Drosophila melanogaster: one gene and its partner. The protein of the gene in region 1 interacts with the protein of each later gene in a pairwise test. Each region holds a gene or a part of one and is shown in the gene's direction. Other genes may lie near its edges.

Evidence for each region. Proteins that work in one complex are often made in the same cells at the same time.
Region 2: the proteins of CG10164 (region 1) and CG6805 interact in a two-hybrid assay, tested with the Drosophila melanogaster proteins (one large-scale study listed by BioGRID).

Annotation. Positions count from the first base shown.
Region 1 is NT_033777.3:23,552,126-23,560,838, reverse strand, and holds CG10164 (uncharacterized protein), read left to right. Parts: upstream 1-3,895; 5' UTR 3,896-4,606; intron 4,607-4,826; 5' UTR 4,827-4,831; coding exon 4,832-5,992; 3' UTR 5,993-6,516; downstream 6,517-8,713.
Region 2 is NT_033778.4:17,003,502-17,009,995, forward strand, and holds CG6805 (uncharacterized protein), read left to right. Parts: upstream 1-1,949; 5' UTR 1,950-2,259; coding exon 2,260-3,006; intron 3,007-3,287; coding exon 3,288-3,614; 3' UTR 3,615-3,631; coding exon of another isoform or gene 3,632-3,661; 3' UTR 3,662-4,000; downstream 4,001-6,494. Other genes in the region: AsnRS-m (Asparaginyl-tRNA synthetase, mitochondrial), read left to right, coding at 1-37; NiPp1 (nuclear inhibitor of protein phosphatase 1), read right to left, coding at 168-289, 350-920, 982-1,196, 1,252-1,466, 1,529-1,557; Ehbp1 (Eps15 homology domain containing protein-binding protein 1), read right to left, coding at 4,954-5,035, 5,096-5,284, 5,345-5,441, 6,000-6,494.

The DNA of each region.
Region 1 (8,713 bases):
TACCTTTCTCTGGCCAATCGATACCACAATCGAAAGGGTATAAGGAAAATATATTAAACCGAGAAAAGGTTAAAATACATAAAGTAATGGCTAGTGGGTGGACTGGGCACACAGATTGATAAATATAGCCGAATGCATAATTTAATTGACTTTTATGGGTGCTCCGGCAGCAGCCCCACAATTTACACCATTGTTTGTTTTTGCATATAATTTCAATTGAATTTTAATTGAAATTATGACGACTCCTAGCTCCACTGAGCCAGACTCAACTGGGCGGCACTGAGCCATTGTTTTCCTAACCGTAGTGCTTTGTTTACGCGCCCCGGCAATAATTTTGCCAATGGGCTGTGGCTCGTGGGTTGTAATACGGTGGGTGGTTGGGTGGTCCGCCCACAATGGCAACCATTTAGCATATTAGAATATGCATTGTTTGCGCCCAACTACGGCACACGCAATGTGCGACCACCCAGGAGGCTCTGTTCACGGGGGACGAGGATCGAATTCTGTTTAGGGCTCGCCAGGATGTTTCCTAATAGCCGTCACTTAAATTGGCCAGGGAATTAAATTTCCTCGTTCCCTAACCAAGTGGTTTCCAATAGCACCTATACTATTTTCATTGTATCCTTGTAGTTTGATTAAGATGAAGAAATTCTACAAGATACAGTCATGGTCAAAATTATTTTCACAAAGTGCATTTTTGTGCATGGGTCACAAACAGTTGCTTGTGCAGCAAGTGGGGGGAGGTGAAATGCAAAAAAACTTTTGCTTTTGCAAATTCAAACCTATGCAGAGTCAGATGAAAGAAGAATGGAAAAAATAACTGTTCCTATGCGCAAGGAAGAGGCAAATGAAGAGATCTTTATCAGTTGTCAGAAGTATTTGCACACGGTTTCGTCGCATCACAATTATTTTCACAACGCAATTTCTTCTTCAGTGATTGGTTTAGAGTGACAAGTGCCGGTTTGTTTGCTTAAATACATTTAAATTATTGAATAAAAATTAGATTTAATCATTTTCCTATTACAGTTATTAAATAAAATGCCCAAAACAAAAGAGTTAACAGTTGAGGCCCGGGCTGGTATTGTTGCTAGGTTTAAAGCCGGTACACCTGCGGCCAAAATAGCTGAAATATATCAAATTTCGCGTAGAACTGTCTACTACTTAATAAAAAAGTTTGATACAGTTGGCACATTAAAAAATAAAAAAAGATCAGGCCGAAAACCTGTGCTGGACCAAAGGCAATGCAGGCAAATACTTGGAGTTGTGGCGAAGAATCCTAGTGCCAGTCCGGTAAAAATTGCCTTAGAATCAAAAAATACAATTGGCAAACAAGTTAGTAGTTCTACAATTCGTCGCAGGCTAAAAGAAGCTGATTTTAAGACATACGTTGTTCGCAAAACGATTGAGATCACACCAACCAACAAAACAAAACGTCTTCGATTTGCGTTGGAATATGTTAAGAAGCCTCTTGACTTTTGGTTTAATATTTTATGGACTGATGAGTCTGCATTTCAGTACCAGGGGTCATACAGCAAGCATTTTATGCATTTGAAAAATAATCAAAAGCATTTGGCAGCCCAGCCAACCAATAGATTTGGTGGGGGCACAGTCATGTTTTGGGGATGTCTTTCCTATTATGGATTCGGAGACTTGGTACCGATAGAAGGAACTTTAAATCAGAACGGATACCTTCTTATCTTAAACAACCATGCTTTTACGTCTGGAAATAGACTTTTTCCAACTACTGAATGGATTCTTCAGCAGGACAATGCTCCATGCCATAAGGGTAGGATACCAACAAAATTTTTAAACGACCTTAATCTGGCGGTTCTTCCGTGGCCCCCCCAAAGCCCAGACCTTAATATCATTGAAAACGTTTGGGCTTTTATTAAAAACCAACGAACTATTGATAAAAATAGAAAACGAGAGGGAGCCATCATTGAAATAGCGGAGATTTGGTCCAAATTGACATTAGAATTTGCACAAACTTTGGTAAGGTCAATACCAAAAAGACTTCAAGCAGTTATTGATGCCAAAGGTGGTGTTACAAAATATTAGTATTGTATTTATATAAAATAAAGAAATTCTTATGTTGAAATTAGATGTTAAGCTGAAATTTACTAAATTAAGTTGAGTGAAAATACTTTTGAAGCGCAATAAACATGTGAAAATACTATTGACAACTTGCATGCATATTTTCTTTTGCTTTAAGCTTTGTACTATGAACCGTTATCTTTCGTATTTCTTTTCGACTACCTTCTGCATAGATCAAGCTAAGCGATAAGAACTATTTCAGGCAAATCGGACAACAACAAGAAGAAATATAACAAAAAGAAGTTGAAGTTTGCAAATATTGTGCGTTGTGAAAATACTTTTGACCACCTCTGTATGTTTTCCCAGAGCCAACGAACTGAACTTGGTAAGTGTTTATTAAAGGACTTTGCCACAAAAGGACTAATCATTGGATAATCAAAAAATGATTGAACAAGTGTTAAAAATATTTTATAGGTAATCATTTTTCTCATGTTACTGAAAGTTGCAAGACTAGCGAACATATTTCAGTAATTTAAAGTGCCACACATCCATTGTTCAACATTTGTTTTTATTAGAGTTTTCCGAACTCAGCTGCCGGTGTAGTTTTACTTTTTCCTGTCCCTTCTGCCTCGTAAGTAAGGAAAACAAATAAATAAATTTCAGTTCTGGCCAGGGCACTCACTCTCACACACACACATAGCCACATGTGGAAATGTGTGTGTGAGGTTGCCTTTCATAAATTTGATATGTATGCGAATTCCTTTCGGTTGTGTGGTTGGGGTTTTGTTTTTTGTCAAGCGAAACCCATTTCCTGGGACTCACATGCTGCCACCAGGTTTCATCTACATTTGCAATTATTTTATGCTCCGCATTTGCCATTTCGTCTTTAATTAGATTTCCTGCCCAACCCCTAGCACAAATTTGCACTTGCCTTTGATGGGGCTTTCATTAGCCCGGCCTTGCGTGCCGTTTGTCTTGCTGGACGATAATTCCACTTTGGCGAACAAGGGCTGGCCAAAAAACACTTTAAGCCCTCTTCGGCTGGCTCACATGCATTTGCTATTGGGCTCTCGGTGTCATGCTGCGACATGCACTACTCGCCACGAAAACATGCAATTTGCAATGGCCATTTGCGCGACCATCAGTCAGTGGGACGCTAGAAACTTTAATTGCCCGCACACGTTTTAGCAAGCTAAGAAAGCTCGATGGAAAACACTGAGTAAAACTCGACAAAATCGCACTCGCCGCAAATGTGTTTTCGCGCCTTAGTTTTGGCCAAACTCTGACACACGAACGTGGACCTCAGACACCGAATGCCACTCGATATAATAGCCTTTCACCACGACGACGACCGCCAAGCACGTCCTTTCGCCAGCTCGTAACGAATTCAACTGAATCGCCACGGCCAGGAACAGCTCGATTTGTTTATGAATCGTCGTGTGCGCTTCGAGCCGAGTCCTCGGAACTTATTGTTCTGGGCGGCAGAGAGAGCTTTTTAGTCCTGTGAGTGGGGCTGCGAATATCGTAAAGTTAAGAGAAAGGGCATTTCTAGTGCTCTGCCCTTCACGCTCAGTTAAGAATTAAATTCTTGGTATGATACTTACTGCTTTACTTTCAAATTTTTGCTTTGCTTTAATTTGCTTTGTTTTAAAAAAGCATTTACTCTCACAATTTTTAGGGAAATCGTAGTTTTGAGTTCAGAGTTGATTATTAAAAATATAAATTCTTTATACAATTTAAGAAAGAAATTGCATATATTTATTCGTTTTCTGCTGTAATGAGTGAGAAAGTATTAGATGGAGAACAACATTTTCGTTTTCTTATTTTTACAATATAATTTAAAGCATTGCCGTAATTGTCAGGCGCAGTGACTTTCGAAGAACCATTTTGAATATCAAAATTTGGGAACACCAGCTCCCGGAATACAGGATTGTCCATTCCTATAGCTCCACATAGATGATCTAAATTGAACAGAGTACGCCTTTCCCCAAGTAGCAGGGGCCCTATCCGTATTCCTGGTCCCATTCTAGACACAAACAAAAACATTCACAGCAGTCGAACAGACAGCCCAAAGACACTCCCACACCAGCTGTGTGTATGCGGTTTAGTTGGCCAACCGCAAAATTCTTGGCAAACAAAATAAAGAAAACTAACTTGGGCCGAAGCAGAGCAGATCCAAGCGGCAACGGAAATTGTTAACCTTTGGGGATATCAAACATTTACGATTGCGTGGCAGCGGCAGCAACATTTAAGTTTTTATCAGCACAAAATAAAGTTTTGGTTTACGGATTGTGTTCCTGTCCGCCAACGCTCCTCCTACTATCCACCACTTTTTGGCCAGAGGCAGCTACAAGTGCCCAGGAGCCAAGACAGGAGCAAAATTCAGGAGCAGAAGCTGGATCAGGGGCTGAAGGTTCGTCCCTGTTGATTCTGGGGCACGCAAAACTTTTATCCTTTTCAATTTCGTTTTTCTTCGCCGAGTACTTTTGAGGGATTTAAATTTCTGTTTGCAGCCGAGCCAACAGCGAAACAACAACCGTGGGAGTGGCAGCATCGAGTTCGTGGCGACCAGGTGAGTGTTTCTTGTTGGCCTAATCACGGCTTTGCCGACTTGGCCACAATCAAGCACAATGCGATTGGCGCTGCTAATTTGACTTGAATGATACATAAAAAGGTGTACGAAAAAAAATTAGGAGGCTTATGTGAAAATGTGATGGTAGAAAATAAGTATATTTTTGATTAAATATTTTTAACAAATAGTATTTTTTAGTCTAAAAATAATTATTTTTCAGCCGTCATGAAGAAGAAGAGTCGTAGAGATCGGACACCAAAAGTAGAACAACCTGAACCATCGAGAGTTGTCAACACGGAGCCTATTCGACTGAACGTGGAACCCCAATCCCAAGAGATAGATGACCAGGCTGCACCATTTATTTTGGTAGACTGTGCGAAATATGAGGATCGTTCAGATTTGGAAGCAATGCTTAGTTCCATAGAAAAGGAACGGATGAAAAAGGTTCAGGCAGATATAGAGCAGCAATATTTTCCCCTCCTGGAGGATGAAGAACCACCTCCAGAATTAGATATGCCTATAAACCTAAGCTCTCAAGCATTGGCTGTACTGAATGATGCAGATAATGAGCGCCGCTTTAAAGAGGATCTGGAGAGCCTTAGTATTGCTGGACTGGAAGAGAAAGATACATCCATTAGCATTACCAACATGAAAATAGAAGACAGCAAACTATTGTTTCGGACTATGCCAGGTATGAATCAGATTTGCTGCACGCTAGAGCAGATGAAAAATGTTCATGGGAAAATTGGACCAGCAGAACCAACTCCACAGGCACGTTGCACCAGCTTGATTCCACTTTCAGGCCTTCGCCGGCAAGACACCTTCGAAATTAAACGTAAAAAGAACCAAAAGATTAGATATCCCGAGGTTTCCACCAAATCAGCAATTAGCGAAAGGAAACATCTACCATTAATTGCCAAGGGAGGAAAATGTGAGAAAGTTATCTCAGAGACTGATAAGATTTTCAGCCAGATTGGCGATCTTCTCGTGAAACTGCAGCTCCAACACGAGGGCAGCAAAGTCCTGAACAAGGGATCCTCTTATTCCTACATGGTGAACATTAAGCCAGCTGGAGGTGCATCCAATTGTTCAGTTTATGCGCTTACAAAACTCAAATCGCACGAAGTAGAGGAGACGCATGCCGAAAATCTAAGAACTTCTCACGCTCCATTGATCAACATTTTATACCCTGGTCGTGGTGGACTTATGGAGACTTCTGAGTTGTCCACGACCGCACGATGTATCGATGGAAGCTCCATTGGGTCGATGTCCCTTCGCGAAACGCCGTCCTCCAAGATCAAACCATCATTTTTACGCAAAAGGCCCAGTTCCCATCTAAGGGCACCTAACCCTGTCAAATTTTGCCACGGCAGGAAGAAAAATTAGGCCGCTTGGTAACCATTCCGCAAATTATTTGTTCGAAAGCCATTTATTTTCTATCGACATTGGAATCTCCAAATAATGCTTACAAATTCATATGTTGGTCATTCAAAAGGATCTTGAATGGATATTTTATGCAAAAATATATCAGTTGCCAGAGTCTAATGAACGGTAATAATTCAACAAATGCATACAATGCGGCCATAATATAAAATATTAAGTGATACAAAACAAATATATATTTTTATAAGCCATTAATTAAAAAATAACCTACATTTTGGTTATTAATGGTCTCTTGGATTTATTTCCACTAGGGTCAATTAATAAAATTGCAAGTCTGAAACCCAGTTTAAAAGATCAATATGCTGTTTTCGATTGAATTGAATTGTACAGCGCAAACAATATTTGTTTTTTCTTTATTCATCGCAAATAAACAAGTGGTTTCAAGTGGTTTATTTATTTGCCATTTTAAATTCATCACAAAATGCACAATAATTATATAGATGTTATCGGCATTCACATTTTCAATTACCCTCGTATTTTAATTTATTGTGTTGTAATTAAAGCGATTTAATCATATTCAATCGCCAGAGTCCTCCAATCAAAACTCGTGCACCTTTCTGGAGTGCTTCCCTGCATAAAAGTTGCATCTTGTCCACTTCCTGGAGGAGTTGTCTAATTGCATGGCCACGCACTTTCATTGCTCATTTCCGAGTTGCCCTCAAGTGCGTGGTTGCAGCTCATTTTGTTCGGTTTGCACAATTGTGGCCAAAGTGTTTTCAACTTTCTTCTGTCAATGCGCCCGGAGGTCGAATCCGAAGTCCGTGCCTCACCCGAAAATCCCCTCTTTCGGTTTGGGTTTGGTGAAATGTCGGCCAAGTGCTGGGCTTGGCTTGTGCCAGTTGGCAGACGTCCTGCTGCAGGACCTTAAAAACCTGCCTGCCTCCTGTCATTTGTCGTTGGCCAGAAATTGCAAGATTGACTACTGGGCTGCAGAGGGTGAACAAGTGGGTGGGCACAAAAGTTTTCATTAGTTTTAATTAAATCCCAAACAGCATTTCCATGCTGCACTCTTTCGCTCGCTCGTTCTCTGAGGCGTGTGCTCTTTCGAGCCTTTGTCAATGAGTTTTCCCAACAAAACCGAATTAAAAACACATCAAAATTAATGACACTCCGCCCCGGGATGGCCAGGAGCCGGGAGCTGGTCAAAAGGAAGTTGCCATTGCCTCCACTGCCACTCGAAGTGCGGACAGCATTTGTGCAATTTATTTAGCCGGCTTTTTGCGGCGCTTCTGGATGCGCGCATGTTGCTAAATAAATTTCATGATTTACTGCAGCCATACGGGAAACGCGGACAAGAAGACAAAAAAAAAAAATGCCAGTTGCCAGTGGCCACAATGTTTATATAGTTGTCGAGTGGGCGTGGCGCATCGACGGGTGCGAGAGGCGGGGACGTATGCCATGAGCCGAGGCTACATGAAATTTGCAATTAGATTTGGCGAAAAAGGCAGCCGCAACATCCGCCCGGCGTCCCAGTTCCACTTGCAACCAGCAACCAACTTCGTTGTCGGTTCGGTCCGGACGAAATATTTAATGCGGAAAGTTTAATCGCAATAGCAACGGCAGCTGCAGCGTCGCATTTCCGGCATTTGTTGGTTTTTAGACTGCATTTCCCGCATTCAGATGGCAGTTGCAACGCAGGACATGGACATCGCAGCGACTCATGGTTGACATCATTAAATTTGATGTCCGGCATTTACTGGTCACCGCCTCTTGTCTTCGGGGGCATCCAGGATGCCGGGTCATCGGGATGACAGAATGCGGACGCACTTTCACTGCGGCCAGCCTTTGAGTGGCCAAGAAATTAAATAAATTTTTGATTAGTCCGGAGCCACATGTATATGTATTCCACACTGCTTTTTAGTGCAGAGATTTCCCTGGGATTTAGGTGCGCTCAGCGAGTGGTGGCTTAATTTTCTGGTGACCGCTTTGAAAGTGGGCTGATTAGCTTGGTAACTGAAGTTGCACTGGGTTAGTCGGAGCTAATGGAAACAGAATGGTGTCATTATTAAAGTAGAAGATTTTTCATTTTTGTAGAGAAAAGGAAGCCTGTAACAGTCAAAATTTCATCAAGTTTGCAATTAAGAAAGTGCAGCATCGACACTCAAATTTCGGTGAAGTGATAATCGGAACATGTTTTTCGCTGTCCTCAGCATCTCTAATTAGCTTTCAGCTAATTTGCAAAAAACCCCCGAGCGTGGGAAATGAAAGCCAAATAAATGTTGCACACAATTAGAATGCACAACAATAATTACATAATAAATTCGCCAACGCAACTGGAATGGCAACTGCAACTGCAGCTGTCTCAGCGGCATTCAGTGTCTTCCGGCGGCAGCTGCCACGAAATGTAAATGAAAATAAGTGGCAGGACGCCTTCTTCGTCCTGTATACTTCGCTCTTGTTGGCGACCGCGTTTACAAATGCCTTCGACTAGTTGAGCACTTGATCAGCGGAGAAGTTGGCTGAGGGAGCGGGAGCATGAGCTTCCTTCATCCATTTTACTCCGCATGTGGGCGACGGCGAGATTAATAAAATTTATTATCATTGCGATAGTGGCAAAACAAACTGAACGCCCCACACATCCCCCAAGTATTTATGTGCTAAAACCAGCTGGGAGAACATATCAAAATGAAGTAAAATTCATTTTACAACATTCAGACTGAGCTG
Region 2 (6,494 bases), on another chromosome or scaffold:
ACCCTTCCCCAGGTATCCACACAGCTGCAAGATGTGATCAGATAAAGATATTAAATGTTTTGTTTTACGTTAAAAGTCTAATAAACAAATATTACTCCAGAGTGTGTTGTCAATCATATGCTTGAGAAAATCGTAGGTGGAATCTTAATTATTTTGTTAATACGCAATTACAGCTGCCCCAACATGGGCTTGCGACCTGGCCATGCTTCCTTGGCGTATTTCTTTTTCTGTGGGCACAGCGAATCGCCTTCGCCACTCGAGTCATGCGGATCCTCACCAAAGCGACGAACTAAAATGGTGTTATAAACAATCAGTAAGTTTTTAAACAAATAGTCGCGAGAACTATTACCGTTTGCATTAGCGACGGCCAACTTTTGAGCCAATGTCGAGGTCTCCACAGCTTCGTCATAGACTGGCAGCACTTCAGGCGCAGGATTCGGGAGCAATAGGCCCAACTTGGAACCAATGCTCAGCGGGGAGATGGGCTCTAGGTCACCCTTGCCATGCATTTCGGCCGGTAGACCTTGATATAGGGAATTAGTAGGCGAGTGGAGCACCGCATTGGGCGGAGGCATTTCCCTATGCTGCTGCTTCATGTCAACTAGGCTCTGCTGGAACATTTGGTGTACATGTGCGGCATTGGCACTGGACAAACTGCTGTTGCCCGAATGGATGCCCATATGATTGACGTCGCAGCGAGCCCTCTTGGCGGGCACCACAGTGGTTTGTACCAAGTTCCTGAAGCGTCCCACATTAGGATCCACATCCTCAGGATTGATGACAATCTCCTCATCGTTAAATGTGACATTTCGAGTGCGCCGTCCCTGTTTCAAGGCGTTTTGCTTTCGCATATTGGTATCATCATCGATGCCCAGCATTGAGATGCGCCGATTGTGGGCTGTGTTGTATTCTGTGAGATTCTGCAGGATAATGGAAGGTTAGTTTACATAGTATTTAGCTTTTCTTTTCAACCAAACGCACATCAAGCTCCGTTTGGCTTTCGGGTAGGCCCAGGAGAGCTCCATCGCTGGTTTCACTGAGCGGCAGGTCTTCCATGATGTTGCTGTGGTGGCCAGAGGGTCGTTCCCTGAGTATGTAGTTCCGGGTAGAAGCCCCAAAGTGGAAGGTGCTATTAATCTGCAGCTGTGTGGGCTTGTGCGCTTCCAATCTGAGTGTTCCAATAAAGGTGCCATGAGCTGTCAAAAGTAAATGGATAAGCTTACTCCGAATCCCAGATATCTTAGTACCTACTGGACCCCAGATCCACGAGGTAGGCTATGTTGAGGTGCTTGTGGTAGACAAACGCCGAGTGGACCCGCGAACAAGAGGCATGGTCTATGCAGAAGTCGTTCATTTGACTGTTGCGACCAAATAGATAGCATCTTTTTTCATCCACCATCAGTTTTTGTACTAGTTTGTCGTCCTTTAGCACATCCAGATGTAAGCCAGTGGGCGGTTTTCCAGCCCTAAAATAAATAAAATGCTACGTGATTTTGTGGCAAGGCAGCGGCTGAATTTGACAACGCACCAACTGGGTATGTCGTAGCTGTTAGCCATACTTTTAACTTAAGTAAAATAGTTCGGAAGGTAAGTTTATACAAAGTGTTTATTTTTATGAAAAATCCTTAGCCAGTGTGTACACACAATTGACTAGTTGCCGATAATATCGGTTTAGCACAAGCAAATGCAAAGGGGCATTCTCGCGTAAAAAAAAAAACAATGAAATAAGAGTATTATTATTTTAAAGGAACTTACGCACAGTACAACTTTTAATCTTATATCTTTATATTTCTTAAATTGATTTTTGGCTTTTATAATATCTAATGTGTTTCAAATAAAAATCTAAATTAGATGAGAAGCTCATGTTAGCCGATGTTTTCGATGAGCTTCAGAGCTCCGTTACTATCGAGATACCATAAAATTTTTGCCGCCGCCTAAGGTATATTTAAATAGTTGTGCTGCGGTCACACTAAGCTCACGCAACGGACGGACAAATAAACATAAATAACGACATCTGAGTATTCTATAAATAATACGGGCAACTAGCGCTTCCTAGTCCAATTAAAGCGGCTTAAAAAATTAGTGCTGAAGAATTAACGGTTACATAAATGAAAGTTGCGTGTGCAAAACGCCTTTCGCTTTATTTGCTGATGCTGCCAAATCCGTAAACCTGTTTTGGATGCCCATGAACTCATCAACAGCCACCTTGTGACGTCCAAAACAACAAGTATTAATCATAGATAATTAGACGGCGGAAAAATGGTTACGGCCACGGCGATTGCGGATCTGTGCATCTTCCTTTTGACCTGGAACGTGGGCACCCATACGCCGCGAAATCAGGATCTGAGCTCCCTTTTGTCCCTTAATGGCACCACCACTTGTCCGGATAACCAGCTGCCCGATATCTATGTAATCGGATTCCAGGAGGTGAGCACCACACCGCAGGTGCTAAAAATCTTCAATGACGATCCGTGGGTGCTGAAGATCGCGGACTCTCTGAGCGATCACCAGTTCGTAAAGGTGGACTCGAAGCAGCTGCAGGGAATTCTTATAACCATGTTCGCACAGCACAAGCACATCCCGCACATGAAAGAAATCGAGACAGAAGCCACGCGCACGGGACTTGGAGGGCTGTGGGGCAACAAGGGTGCCGTAAGCATTCGACTTTCGCTCTACGGAACTGGCGTCGCATTCGTCTGCTCCCATCTGGCGGCGCACGATGAGAAGCTGAAGGAGCGCATCGAAGACTATCACCAAATCGTGGACAATCACAAGTACAATGCGCAGGGATATCGCCGGATATTCGATCACGACTTTGTCTTTTGGTTTGGCGATCTTAACTTCCGTCTCTCCGGCGATATGTCCGCTTGGGATGTCCGCACGGATGTGGAGAACCAGCGATACGCTGATCTGCTCAAGCTCGACCAGTTGAATCTGCTCCGGGAGAAGGGAAACGCCTTCAGCTTGCTGGAGGAGCAGCAGCCCAACTTTGCGCCCACTTTTAAGGTAACAATCTAATATACAATCTTATTATCTCTACAGTCAAAGTTTGCCTTGAACTTTCTAATCTTAATCTAAATAATGTATATAGGGGTGGGTGTAATTAATTTTATCTGCACTTGAATTTTTAATTTCCGCCAATCACTTCATCAATCAATCACTTCATTCGGCTCCACAGATTTCATGAGAAAAGCAAAATCCAACTAATTTATGAGGCAATATGTCGAATGTAATTAATTCGCCTTATCTCTAGCACCCATATAAAGTTCATTTGATTTTCCTTGCAGTTCGTGGAAGGCACTAATGACTACAACTTGAAGCGGCGACCCGCCTGGTGCGATCGGATTTTGCATCGCGTGCAGAGCAACATTTATCCGGGCATTACCCTGAGTGCCAACCAGCTGTCTTATCAGTCCCACATGGACTACACTCTCTCCGACCACAAGCCCGTATCGGCGACATTCAACTACAAGGTCGAGGCTGCCAACCAGACCTACACCGACGAGGAGCTCCACGAAATGACGCACGGATCTGCCTCATCTCCGGCGACGCCAAATGTTAGTCTATCCTTCGCATTTGTTGTTTTTGTAGCTGTGTCCTATACTCAACTTTGATTTCGCTTCTTTTGTAGTTATTTATCGCTGAACTAGAGCAATGGTAGCGCCGTCATGACGTCACTTAGTTGTGAACTTTTAAATCTCTTTGCATGCTTTTAGATTATATGCGTAGACGAGTTGTAGAGTAATTAAAAGACTTCCTTTCAGAAGGAACAAGAGAAACGAAAATAATATCAAGTACAATGTGATGAAATCTCTGCTAATTTAGCAATCATTTAAGCAATTCTCAAGTGATCCATGGAAATAATGCAGCTTCCGAGTATATATACATACATATGTTATCACTCAATTAAGACGATATTAATTTAACGATTGATTGCATTAAACAAATGTATTTTTGTACACTAAACTGTTGATCGAATAAAAAAAACTATTACCTCTCGACGTGACTAATCTTTTTTGTTACTGAGTCAATTAAAATGATACTCTGTTAAGTATTTGTATTGAGAAACCTGTTAATACAAAAAAATAAATAAATCGATATGACGCATTTTTGTTTTGTTATTGGAGTAACTTTCCCAGATAACAACGGATAAGACTTCTTAGAATGGTTTTGGGTTTATTCGATGCTGATGACAGCATTTTCGTTTCTTTTATTAGCTATTAATGTTCCTTGGGTCGAACAGTTCTTTATACAACATTCGCCTGGGCAAAGTAAATTAAAATGTATTTTATATAAGTATATAAGCCACCTTTAAATTATGATTAAAGCGCTTTGCTTAACTTAGAGCAAATGTACGGGTCTAAATAAGGTATGTTAAGATAGGTTTGTTGTATAAGTGTAATTCATAAATATATAAGTGTACGTGTATTTTTGGATGAAGCGTTTCTAGTTATGTGGGATAAATGCTAAAGTAAAACTAACGTAAAATTGCCTCCTCAATTCCCTATCTCACATCGCTATTGCGTTCAGGATTTACATAAGTTAGGAGTGGTTCAGATGGCACAACAACGAAACATGAAACAAAGTTACCACCATTTAATTTAAAGTAATACCAAGATCTGATTATCGTAAATAGGTGTATAAACGTGTGCCTGTCTTTTTACTTAGTTCACTAACGGACGTTTTGTTCTTATTTCTTGAATTGTTTTGCTTAAATACAAAAGCAATTTGTTTTGTTTCACAGTATACCTTTTTTTTTTTAATAACCATACCAAGTGGTCCAAGTATTTGTTGTCGTTGGATATAACGATTGCATAAGAAGCGACACCGAACCACAAAAACCACGCGACCTTATCGCGTGTCTCTGAACATAGTTGTTATCTAACTAGTTACATAGATAAGATTGAGTGTGTGTAAGTATAATCTCCAGTCAGGTTTGGTTAATTTCGATTTCTATTGAAGAACACATTTGTCTTTTTCAGCACTGATGTCCACGTGCTCCAGTTTCCTCGCGATCTCCTGGTCGTCTTCGATCCTAAACGAGTCCGAGGGTTAGCTTCGTATATTTTAATGATGGGAAAAGTGCTTCACTTACGCTATCTCTTGGTTGTGCAAGTGCTGAACCAACTGGTCGCGCTTGTCGACAATCGTCATCAGTTCCTCGAGCAGCAGTCGCTCCTTTTCACGCTGAACTTCCGTTTTGCGCCAATCTTCCACAGATTGCGCCGCCCGCAGCTCTTGATTAAGCATTGTATATTTTCGCTCCAAATCTTTTTCTTGCTCGCTGAAGGGTGTAGATAATAATAAGAAACAAAGCCGATAGTAGTTCTAAGTGATAACTTACAGTATATTTAGCTGCATCTGTCGCCGGAGGAGTGCGTTCTTCTTGTTGACCAGCGTAAACCATTGCGATAGCAGTTGCTCCTCTGTCTCCTCGGTCTCTGTGGAATGTTTAAGTGTCTGATTATAAAAAGGCAATGATGGGGGTTTTCTTTGTGAAGCACTAAGATTATTTAAAGCCTGCCTGTTCTGATTATACTACTGAAATTGATTTTCTACATAAGTCGCAACCATACATAAGTGGCTTAAGTATTTTAAAACAGTTTTTGAAATAGGCAATACCAGAACAGGCGCTTCGTGCTTTGCTTTATTCTAAGAAGGCGTCCTTTGCCTTTTTCAAAAGCTGCTGCAGAGGGAGGACTCTGTGATTAGTGAGCGTTATATCATCGGAGCTGTTAGAACCAAGTCCGAACATAGTTAGACACAAGTTGGAACGGTTGCCCGCCAAGTTAACAAGCAAACACAGACATTAATTGGAACAAACAAACGGCACAAAGAATGAGCGAGTGGATGCGGTTGAAAGAGGCGAGCGAGCGAGCGAGCAGGCGGAAGATCTGGGCGATCGGCAGTCAGGCGGTGAGGCGTGGCAGTGCTCTGGCAGTTAGCAATTAGCAGGGCAGCTCAATGGTACAGGCATGATAGGATGGGCCGCACTTTACCACAATGATTGGGAGTGTGACATAAATGGGAGCGCCGCTCCCGCCTCTGACGGCGTCGCCTATGACGATCCTGCTGCCGCCGCAACGAGGCCGCACGACCGTTGGCCGCCACCGCCAGGACCTCGTCATCATCGCTGCACGCAGGCAGATTATCACAGGAAGACTGCTGCGAGGAGAGCGCCGACGGGGAGCTGTCTAGCATGTGGGTATAGGGCACAACGTGATGTACATGATGCGGGCGCAGATGAGCGGGCGTGTTGATGGTCGATTGATGGTTCTTGTTCACAAAGCACGAATGGGAGCGTGGCCGGGGGCGTAGCCTCGTGTGCAACTCGTCGCCTGAGTTGCAGACACTATCGCTGGACGTGTCCCTATCGTCGTCCTCGCTACACGCCCCGCTCCGACCGCCACCACTACCGGCACCTCCACCAAAAAGGCTCTCGTCATCCGAATCGAGCAGCTTAATACGTATCACATCACCACCACCAATACTAT